Linked DNA regions of Drosophila melanogaster. The protein of the gene in region 1 interacts with the protein of each later gene in a pairwise test. Each region holds a gene or a part of one and is shown on either strand. Other genes may lie near its edges.

Region 1 (4,204 bases):
CAAGTGGGTACTATCATGGGCAACCTGTTGTCTGGCGTGTTTATAGACGCCTATGGTTGGGAGTTTGTCTTCTACTTCTTCGGGGGTCTGGGTGTTGTCTGGTTTGCCATCTTTGTAAGTATAGGCTGAGCACTTAGCACATAGTCAAGACTCGTTATAATCCAAACTATTCTTGCTCGTAGATGTTCCTCTGCTACAGCGATCCCACGTCGCATCCCTTCATCAAGCCCAGCGAGCGCGAGTATCTGGTCAAGGAGATTGGAACCATTAGCCGCAACGAGGACCTGCCCCCCACTCCCTGGAAGGCCATCCTCACCAACCTGCCCATGTTTGCCCTGGTGGCCGCCCAGATTGGTCACGATTGGGGCTTCTACATCATGGTGACGGATCTGCCGAAGTACATGGCCGACGTTCTTCAGTTCTCGATCAAGGCCAACGGTCTTTACTCCTCGCTGCCCTACGTCATGATGTGGATCGTTTCCGTGGGCAGTGGCTTTGTGGCCGATTGGATGATCCGCCGTGGCGTGTTGAGCACCACAAACACCCGAAAGGTGATGACTGGTCTGGCTGCCTTCGGTCCGGCCATCTTCATGGTGGGCGCCTCCTACGCCGGCTGCGATCGTGTCCTCGTCGTGGTGCTCTTCACCATCTGCATGGGTCTGATGGGCGCCTACTATGCGGGCATGAAGCTGAGTCCCCTGGACATGAGTCCGAACTATGCCGGAACGCTCATGGCCATCACAAACGGAATTGGAGCAATCACCGGAGTGATCACGCCGTACCTGGTGGGCGTGATGACACCAAATGTGAGTATCATAAAGGTGATGTTTTGAAACTTTAGCTAATCTGGTTGTTCTCCTTTTACAGGCCTCGCTGCTGGAGTGGCGTCTTGTGTTCTGGGTGGCCTTTGGCGTGCTCTGCTTCACTGCCGTGATCTACTGCATTTGGGCATCCGGAGAGGTGCAGCCGTTCAATAACGCACCCATCCAGCCGCGCTCCGTCGACTTTGAGGCACAGGAGCGCAAGGTGGGTGGTGAAAAGACAAGTGGTCTGGAGCAGAGCTCGTAAGGTGGATCGCCAAAAAAAAGTGCCATACATATATGTATACATTGTAATCTAGTTAAAGTGCTGTCTACGCGGATTCTGGAATCCGTAATCTGGGATCCGAGTGGTTCCCAAAAGCAGTGTCATGCTGTATACGCAGTGGCTGTTGTTCAAATTGCTAGTTTTATAGTATTCCCGATCTGGCCGATCCCTGGCATCAGCGCCAACTAATTAATTTAAGCGAATTTACTTACACTCCCGAACGTCCGCAGTGCTACCATGTTTATCCCTTTTGTTAGCTAGGATAATCCTTAGCCTAATCCTAATCCTAAACTATACCCCTATGCCGCGCACGCAACGTACTCTCTTAATTATTATTTAGTATTTAAACAAACTGCGATTTCGCATTAAGGATTTCGTGTACCAGAGCTCGTATTGCCGTATTGTAAATCAAATGATGAAATAATTTGTACATTTTAAATTGTTGATCAATGTGTAAAGTAAAGCGTGTTTTTAGCTGTTCTGTTAAGACATTACTGTTTTTATGATGTTAGTCAAATAAAGTGTATAAAGCTAATTAAAACTATAAATCTAAAATCCAGTTTGTAAAAATGTATTCATGATATACTCATATAATAGGTATTAAATAGTCTAAAGGGGCATCTTCTAGTAGGCGTTCTGCGATTTGTCCAACTTCTATAAAACAAAGTTACCAAAATGCTGCCCGCTGTTGAGCAAAAGTTGAGCGATATATTTATATGTATGTATATGTATGCATAATTCAGCGATTTTACGTGGCATCCACTACAACCAGATGGTTACCCGTTCCATTCCACAGATCTGGAGGTGCGACAGCGCTGGGTTCTCTGCTGCTTCACATTTTTGGCGATCATTAATGCCTACACAATGCGTTTGTGCTTGGACTGTACGCTTAACCGAATCATATTGGAATGTGGTGGTCATAGGGTGGACAACGTTCCTCAAGTACTAAATCCAAAGGCACTGCCCAACTGGCGTATTGAACTGGCCATGGCACTGAATCACACGGAATATCAACTGAGAAGCCGCCTAAAAGCGGGAAAGGAGCAACCAGATCTCAACCAGATAAGCGCCAAAGGAACGCGGGATAGAGAACCTGCCGGTGAGAAACGTCCTGGTCAAGAGGACTCTCAAGAACGTTTGAGCTGCTCCGAGCAGTGGCCTCGCCAAACCCAATCCCTTGTAGTAATGGCCTTCTATGCCGGCTATGTGCTCAGTCATGTTCCGGGCGGACGGCTGGCGGAGAGGTATGGTGGAAAGTGGGTGCTCAGTGCGGCCATACTCACGTCAGCGGTGCTGACCCTGCTAACTCCCACTGCAGTGCGACAGGGCGGTCTGTATGCCCTTGTCGCTGTCCGTCTATTGGTCGGAATTTGTGAGGGCCCTTGCTTTCCGGCCGTGTGTGCACTCCTGGCCCAGTGGGTTCCGGAACAAGAGCGCGGAATGCTGGCCAGCTGCGTACTCAGTGGCGGTGAGATCGGCATCACGATGGTCCAGTTGGTCAGCGGGTTGCTTATTGCGGAGCAGGATTGGCCCGTGTTCTTCTATCTGGTTGGTGGAGGAGCCGTGGCCTGGTTCTTGGGATTTGTAAGTCTATACGAAGTCTAAAGTCATGATAATCATAGTTTAAACCAATTTGTTCCCAAGACCTTAGTTTGCTATAGCACTCCGGATCATTGTCCGTTTATTCAGAGCGAAGAAAGGGAATACATAAGGTGCAATACTAGCAACTCCTTTTTGTTGACCACTGGCAGAGAAAGAGAGGAGATGGACGGGGAAGATGGATATGAAGGTGAGGATAGGGAGCACCGCAGAGAAGTGGAAGCAACGTGCAACACTGCACCTTGGCGGAGCATGCTTAACAGCACGCCACTCTGGGCCCTGGTTTCCACCTCCATGCAGCAGGAATTCCAACAGAAATTGCCCCAGGAGCTGCAAATTGCGCTAGAGGAAGTAAGAGCCCGTGGCACCAGTTTCTCAGAACTAACCACCATCATCGAAACGATAGCACCGTCCGTTGGAAACTGGATAGCTTCACTGACAACAGGGCGGCTGAGCGACGTGCTAATCGAGCAGCAGATTCTCACGCGCACTCAGACACGCCGCCTCATGTCCTGGTTGGTCTTCCTATGCGGATCCATGTACATGCTACAGATCAAGATGAGCGGAGCACGAATCTGGAGCGTTCTTGGCATGGGAGCCTACTATGCGAGCATTAAGCTGCTACCGCTGGATATGAGTCCCAACTATGCTGGCACTTTGATGGGCATTTCGGGCGGCATGGGCGCGCTTCCAGCACTTCTGATGCCCTATCTGGAACAACTGGAGACCGACTACAAGCTGGTGAGCAGTGTGAGGGCCGCCATGTGGGTAATCGGCGCCAGCTACATATCCGGCGATGTCCAGGCGTTTAACCAACCGGAACGGGAGCCACAATGAGGAGACTTGCTTGTTTTAAGTTTAATCTTACGCTTAAACATAAGCTACTGGATTTGTCTTAGTGGATTCCTTAGGCAACAGATTCTAGTTTACATATGTACCATAATACATGACAATTTCTATGCTAAAGCTAGGAGCATAAACGTAAACAAGCTTTATATATATATATATAAATAACAGGTATGGTCGATATTAACTTAATTAGAGTAGGACTGCTGGCTAAATGCTCCGCGCTGGCTCTTATTTTCTCGGGATATCAATCCCAACACACACCGGTTTCATACTCTATGCAACGCCCTGGGCCATCAATCCGGATTGGGCCATTGCCGACACTGAGTTCATGTCGATACCCAGCTTTTTGGTGACGTTGATTTGGGCCACTGCCGCGTTGCGCAGCGAGTAAACGTGCACCAACTCCGCCTGACTCTTGGCATAAAGCAGTGCCTTTTCAAAAAGCTCGACGGCCCGTGTGAGTTGCGCCCGCTGAACTTCGACTGTTCCGAGTGTCTCGTAGGCCAGCTCGCATTTGGGATCTACTTCGATCGCCTTGTTGAGCAGCTGGACAGCCAAATTAATGTCTCCGCGCCACTGAAGCACCATGATGGCCTGGTGAACGATAAGTGCAGGATTTGTTGGCGCCAATACCATGGCCTTTTTGTAGTATTCCTCCGCCTGGGTAAAC
Region 2 (6,041 bases), on another chromosome or scaffold:
CTGGACAGGTTGTGGTTCCATCATTGTCAGTGGATCATTCAGAGGAGGTGGCGGAGTTGCCTCTTCCGAAACAAAATCCACACCAAAATCAAGGTCCAAAGCACTAAAACGTGTGTTTTCCACATGGGCGGCAGGTGCTCCATTGCCATTCAGCACAGAATCAAAGGGAAATGCCTCGGAACACATCTGTGCGAGCGGGGCGAGGCTGGGCTCGAATCCTGGAAGCTGACACGTGGGCGTTAGTAGTGTCTCCGACTGGAAGACATCACCATCTGCTCCTCCTACAACCAGGCCACTTTGTCCTGGCTCTGCTGCCGACGGCATGGTGCTATTGAATCCCAGACCGGGCAGAGCAGATGGCAAAACCATCGGTTCCTTGAGGATGTCTACATTGCGGATATAAATCTTCGGCTGGCGCGGCTTCTCCGGCTCCCCGACAACATCAGGAACTTCAGGGAGACTATTGTCCGTATTGACCGAATGGTTCTGCAGCTGGAAGTCGAACGGCAGCAAAGCGGTCTCCCTGAGCACGTCCACGCTCTTGATGGAGATCTTCTGGATGGGCTTTGGCGGCGGAGCTGGTAAATTCGCAGCAGGTGCTGTTGGCATTGTCTGTTCGGTCGGCGATGCACCTACAGCCACACCTTCCAGCAGATCAAGAATGTTAGCGGCGGACCCGCTATCCGGCATTAAGGGCGGGAAATCCGGGAGTGGCTCCCTTAGGCAATCTACGCTTTTTATAAAGATGCGGCTCTTGGGTCGATTTTGGCTCTGCGACATCTGAGTCTGCTTTTTAGTTTGTGCTTCAGTGACTTTTCTGCCCATAAGCGCAAGTGTCTCACTGTCCTCCATTTGATGGTCCAAGCTGAGGTGCAAGCTGAGCGCATCGCTGGTGTAGAAAATGTTTGAGCAGCCTGTCGAAAAACACGTGAAAAGTGAATGCAAATATGATGAAGCATTCCAGCAGAGCACTCATATTGAAGGCGCACTATGCCTCACCTGGACACTGTTTCCTGTGCTGCTCCATATAGCAGTTGCCCTGACTAAGGTGTTGCTGAAGACGCATCTGGCAGAGGCTTAAGAATGGACAATTAGGACAGCGCAGGATAAGAGGCGGACCCTCCTGAATGATTGCCTTGCCCTCCACGCTGGCGCAGCTGGAATTTCGAGTTGGTGGCGTTGGCGTGGCATTCAGGCGATCCTTGGCTGCCGCTTCCGCAAGTTCCGACTTGATTAGTTCCTCCGACTTAATTTCCGCTGTACGCCTGCGGAAGGCATTGCGGTAGCTTTTCTCTGGTTGCTGCAAGTCGGTGGTGTGGATCTGGACAAAGGGAATGCCCTGATTGGGCTGGGACTCCACCGCCACCTCAGTAGGTGATCGATTCCCGCCATCGGCCAGCCACAAAGTAGTTCCAGAAGGGGTGGTGTTTGCAGCAGACGCGGAGGCAGATCCGGATCCCGATCCGATGACCAGCTCTTCGTCAAAGAATCCCCCGAAGTTGGAGTCCTGCTCCAAGGAGTGAACCGGCGTGGAAAGCGACAGGTCTTGGTGCGGATGTGTAGGATGCGGATGCGACAACGGGAGCAGCTGGAAGACACACGGCGTGTTTTTCTGGCCAGAGGTACTCGCTGGTTGCTCACCTGGTTGCCGCCGTAATATCCCGGATAGGTCGCATCGCTCATCGTGGGTGCCTTCCTTGGTCCAGTTGATTCCCGGTGCCGGATTCCGGTTGCCGGTTGCCGGTTTTCCGCTTCCTGGGCACACGCCTCTTAATTCCGCATCACAAAAATTGGCATTACGCAGAAAAAAAACTTTTCATCACAAAATAACTGATAGCGAACAGCTGTTGCTGTACACAGTGTGGCAGCGGTGTTTGCACAACTATATTCGGTCACACTGTCGCGTTATGTTATGTCGTGTGTATAGGCCCTTTATTAAATTGAATAATTTAAGTTACCAATATTAAGACCGAAGTTAAATCAAACGGTATACGAAGACTAAATACAATATAATGAAATTTTTTTGTACTAAGCTAGAATAGTTTAACTAGAGGTTCTATAAATATACCAAAACGTGCTGGAGATATCGCTGTTATCGAAGACTAACCATCGCTAGCGGCTACTGCAAAAAAAAGAGCGGAGTTTCGTGGACTCGAGTGAAAATTGTGAAAATCCATTGTATACGCGACAGAAAGCAACATAAGGCCCCAGAATGCCGCGAATAATGATCAAGGGCGGCGTGTGGCGCAACACGGAGGTAATTATCCCAATAGTCTATCGGTTAACCACACATGGCTTACATTGGCTACCGATTTCATTTTCCCAGGATGAAATCCTCAAAGCTGCGGTTATGAAATATGGCAAGAACCAGTGGAGTCGAATTGCCTCCCTCCTGCACAGAAAGTCCGCCAAGCAGTGCAAGGCCAGGTGGTACGAGTGGCTGGATCCCAGCATCAAGAAGACCGAGTGGTCCCGTGAGGAGGACGAGAAACTGCTCCACTTGGCCAAGCTGATGCCGACGCAGTGGCGCACCATAGCCCCGATCATCGGACGGACGGCAGCCCAGTGCCTGGAGCGCTATGAGTACTTGCTGTGAGTCCAACGCACAACATACTAAGTAGAAAATTTCTGATCCCTTTCCTGCCGTACAGAGACCAAGCCCAACGCAAAGAGGATGGCGAGGACACGATGGATGATCCTCGCAAGTTGAAGCCCGGAGAGATTGACCCCAATCCAGAGACCAAGCCGGCGCGGCCCGATCCCAAGGACATGGACGAGGACGAGCTGGAAATGCTGTCCGAGGCACGCGCCCGCTTGGCCAACACGCAAGGCAAGAAAGCCAAGCGCAAGGCTCGCGAAAAGCAACTGGAGGAAGCCCGCCGCCTGGCCACTCTCCAAAAGCGGCGCGAACTTCGTGCCGCCGGAATTGGCAGCGGAAATCGCAAGCGGATCAAGGGAATAGACTACAACGCCGAGATTCCCTTCGAAAAGCGACCTGCCCACGGATTCTACGACACTTCCGAGGAACACTTGCAGAAAAATGAACCCGACTTCAACAAGATGCGGCAGCAGGACCTAGATGGAGAACTCCGCTCAGAGAAGGAGGAACGCGAACGCAAGCGGGACAAGCAGAAGCTGAAGCAGCGCAAAGAGAATGAAGTGCCCACCGCAATGCTGCAAAACATGGAGCCCGAGCGGAAGCGCTCCAAACTAGTCCTGCCTACGCCGCAGATTTCCGACATGGAACTACAGCAGGTAGTCAAGCTGGGACGCGCCAGTGAGATGGCAAAGGAAATTGCCGGTGAGAGCGGCATAGAGACGACGGATGCTTTGCTAGCCGACTACTCCATTACACCCCAGGTAGCAGCCACTCCACGTACTCCGGCTCCGTACACCGATCGCATCATGCAGGAGGCCCAAAACATGATGGCCCTCACCCACACAGAGACGCCACTCAAAGGTGGCCTGAACACACCGCTGCACGAGTCAGACTTCTCCGGCGTGCTGCCCAAGGCGGCCTCCATCGCCACGCCTAACACAGTGATTGCCACGCCGTTTAGAACCCAACGCGAGGGCGGAGCAGCCACTCCCGGCGGATTCCAAACGCCCTCCTCCGGAGCCCTAGTTCCCGTAAAGGGGGCAGGAGGGGCTACGGGTGTCGTCAATACACCTGCCTACGTGAGGGACAAGCTAAGCATCAATCCTGAGGAGAGTATGGGCGTCACCGAGACCCCAGCACATTACAAAAACTACCAAAAGCAACTAAAGTCTACACTGCGTGACGGTCTCTCCACGCTGCCCGCTCCACGGAATGACTATGAGATCGTGGTGCCTGAGCAGGAGGAAAGCGAACGCATTGAGACCAACTCAGAACCCGCCGTCGAGGATCAGGCGGATGTCGACGCCAGGTTATTGGCTGAACAAGAGGCGCGCCGAAAGCGAGAGCTAGAGAAGCGCTCCCAGGTTATTCAGCGTAGTCTCCCGCGACCAACTGAAGTGAACACCAAGATTCTGCGACCGCAGTCCGAGAAACAGAACCTTACGGAACAGCAGCAGGCCGAAGAGCTGATTAAACACGAAATGATCACCATGCAGCGTGAGTAAACCCAACGTTTCCATTTTAACCCAAGTAACTAACGTCCTTTTTCTTGGCAGTGTACGACTCGGTCAAGGATCCCGTGCCTGGTCAATCGCAGCACAAGTTGGAACAGCTACAAAGCTACTTTAAGGCCAATCCCTACGAGGACATCTCGCAGCAAGAGTTGGCGAAGGCCAAGCAAATGCTCACCGAGGAAATGGAGGTGGTGAAGGAGCGCATGGCGCATGGCGAACTGCCCCTAGACGTTTATGCCCAGGTGTGGCAGGAGTGCCTCGGCCAGGTTCTTTACCTACCCTCCCAACATCGCTACACACGCGCCAATTTGGCCAGCAAGAAGGATCGATTAGAGTCTGCCGAGAAACGGCTGGAGACAAATCGCCGCCACATGGCCAAGGAAGCCAAGCGCTGCGGCAAGATCGAGAAGAAGCTGAAGATTCTCACCGGCGGCTACCAGGCGCGCGCCCAGGTGCTGATTAAGCAGCTTCAGGACACGTACGGCCAGATTGAGCAGAACTCTGTCTCACTCTCGACATTCCGCTTTTTGGGCGAACAGGAGGCCATCGCTGTGCCGCGACGCCTGGAATCGCTGCAAGAGGACGTGCGTCGCCAGATGGACCGCGAGAAGGAGCTGCAGCAAAAGTACGCTAGCTTAGTGGAGGAGCGCGATTCGCTTTACTCTCAAATCGAACATATAACTGGCGTCAGGCCCACGGCCCAGCAACTCCTGCCCGACCAGGAAGCGTAAACCTTCTTTTGGAACCCAAGTCCGTTCTTATTTAATTACAGTAATTACATGCCAGCAAACAGCTATCACCACCTAATATCCCGATCCATATTCCTCGCTAGCGGCCGTACTTCTGGTAGACCCACTCCTTGTTGTCCAGCGGACAGACCAGGCGCGTTTTCAACCAGCGCGCGATGCAGTGGTAATGGAATGCGTGGTTGCACTCGCCCCAAGCCACAGTGCACTCGTCTTGGTTTGCATTCGGGTCCGCCTGGCACTCGATGCACAGGTTCATGATGTGGTTACGGCAGATGGCACAGTTGTCCACTGCTACGTCCCATCCCCACATGGCGTGCGCAACCCATTTCTTCACCACAAAGCGCTCCGTCCTGGCCTGGACAGCTCCTCCACTACAGGATGGCTCTTCGTCATTGAAGTCCATGTCGTGGAAGTCCTCCGTCTCCTCAACCTCTATCTCCTCGGCCATGGTGTGAAATTACGAATTTTTTTTCTTTTTCAAAATACAACACTTATTTTCGTATTCGAATTTGATTTGAACTATTTTAAATTCCATTTGTTTTTGGCCTGACAGTTAATAAAAAAAAGTTGACCACTACCGATTTATCTACGAAATAACAACGGCGAATAATTTTAAAAATAAATGCAGAAAAGAAATTAAACCTTGTGATCATATTAAGTGGGGCTCAAGAAAGCTTATCATCGGTAAACCACTTTTGAATCCCTAAATTTAGACAATTTTTTTAAACAAGAAAGAATGTTATAGTCGAATTTCTCGACTATCAGATACCAGATAGTGGGAGTGAGTTTGAGAGAGAAATTTCAAAATTATCTTGGCATATCGATAGAAATTTGTATTCCTTTTAACGAGTTTAATATACCCCTCTATGAGTAATGGGTATGATAACAAATTACGGTTTTTATAATGCCTTTCTTAAACAAAATAGCTGTTTCCCAAACTCGAATGTCATTATTATTAAGGAAGCTTTACTGCTAACGGGAAGTCATGGCTTAGGCTTAGGGTATATCAAATAAATTCTTTACACGTTCTTCTCAGTTTGGGAAAGGTTTTTTACCCTCTTCAGGTGCTTCTTGCCAATAAAGTGCTGTTGCAAGGTGCTCTCATGGTTCATCATCATGTTGCAGGGCTGGCAGTAGTACTGACCCATTGGAGTGCGATACAAGGCCAGTTCCGCGGCA

What was found. The genes of interacting proteins can lie anywhere in the genome.
Region 2: the proteins of CG18788 (region 1) and Cdc5 interact in a two-hybrid assay, tested with the Drosophila melanogaster proteins (one large-scale study listed by BioGRID).

The regions. Positions count from the first base shown.
Region 1 is NT_033779.5:12,032,464-12,036,667, forward strand, and holds CG18788 (uncharacterized protein), read left to right. Parts: upstream 1-1,726; 5' UTR 1,727-1,761; coding exon 1,762-1,804; intron 1,805-1,882; coding exon 1,883-2,670; intron 2,671-2,730; coding exon 2,731-3,522; 3' UTR 3,523-3,668; downstream 3,669-4,204. Other genes in the region: dmGlut (dietary and metabolic glutamate transporter), read left to right, coding at 1-114, 183-806, 868-1,068; Tom70 (translocase of outer membrane 70), read right to left, coding at 3,808-4,204.
Region 2 is NT_037436.4:357,300-363,340, reverse strand, and holds Cdc5 (cell division cycle 5), read left to right. Parts: upstream 1-1,957; 5' UTR 1,958-2,212; coding exon 2,213-2,257; intron 2,258-2,326; coding exon 2,327-2,592; intron 2,593-2,651; coding exon 2,652-4,096; intron 4,097-4,155; coding exon 4,156-4,844; 3' UTR 4,845-4,941; coding exon of another isoform or gene 4,942-5,310; 3' UTR 5,311-5,490; downstream 5,491-6,041. Other genes in the region: CG1233 (uncharacterized protein), read right to left, coding at 1-914, 1,000-1,588, 1,642-1,683; Roc1b (regulator of cullins 1b), read right to left, coding at 4,942-5,310; CG1231 (uncharacterized protein), read right to left, coding at 5,882-6,041.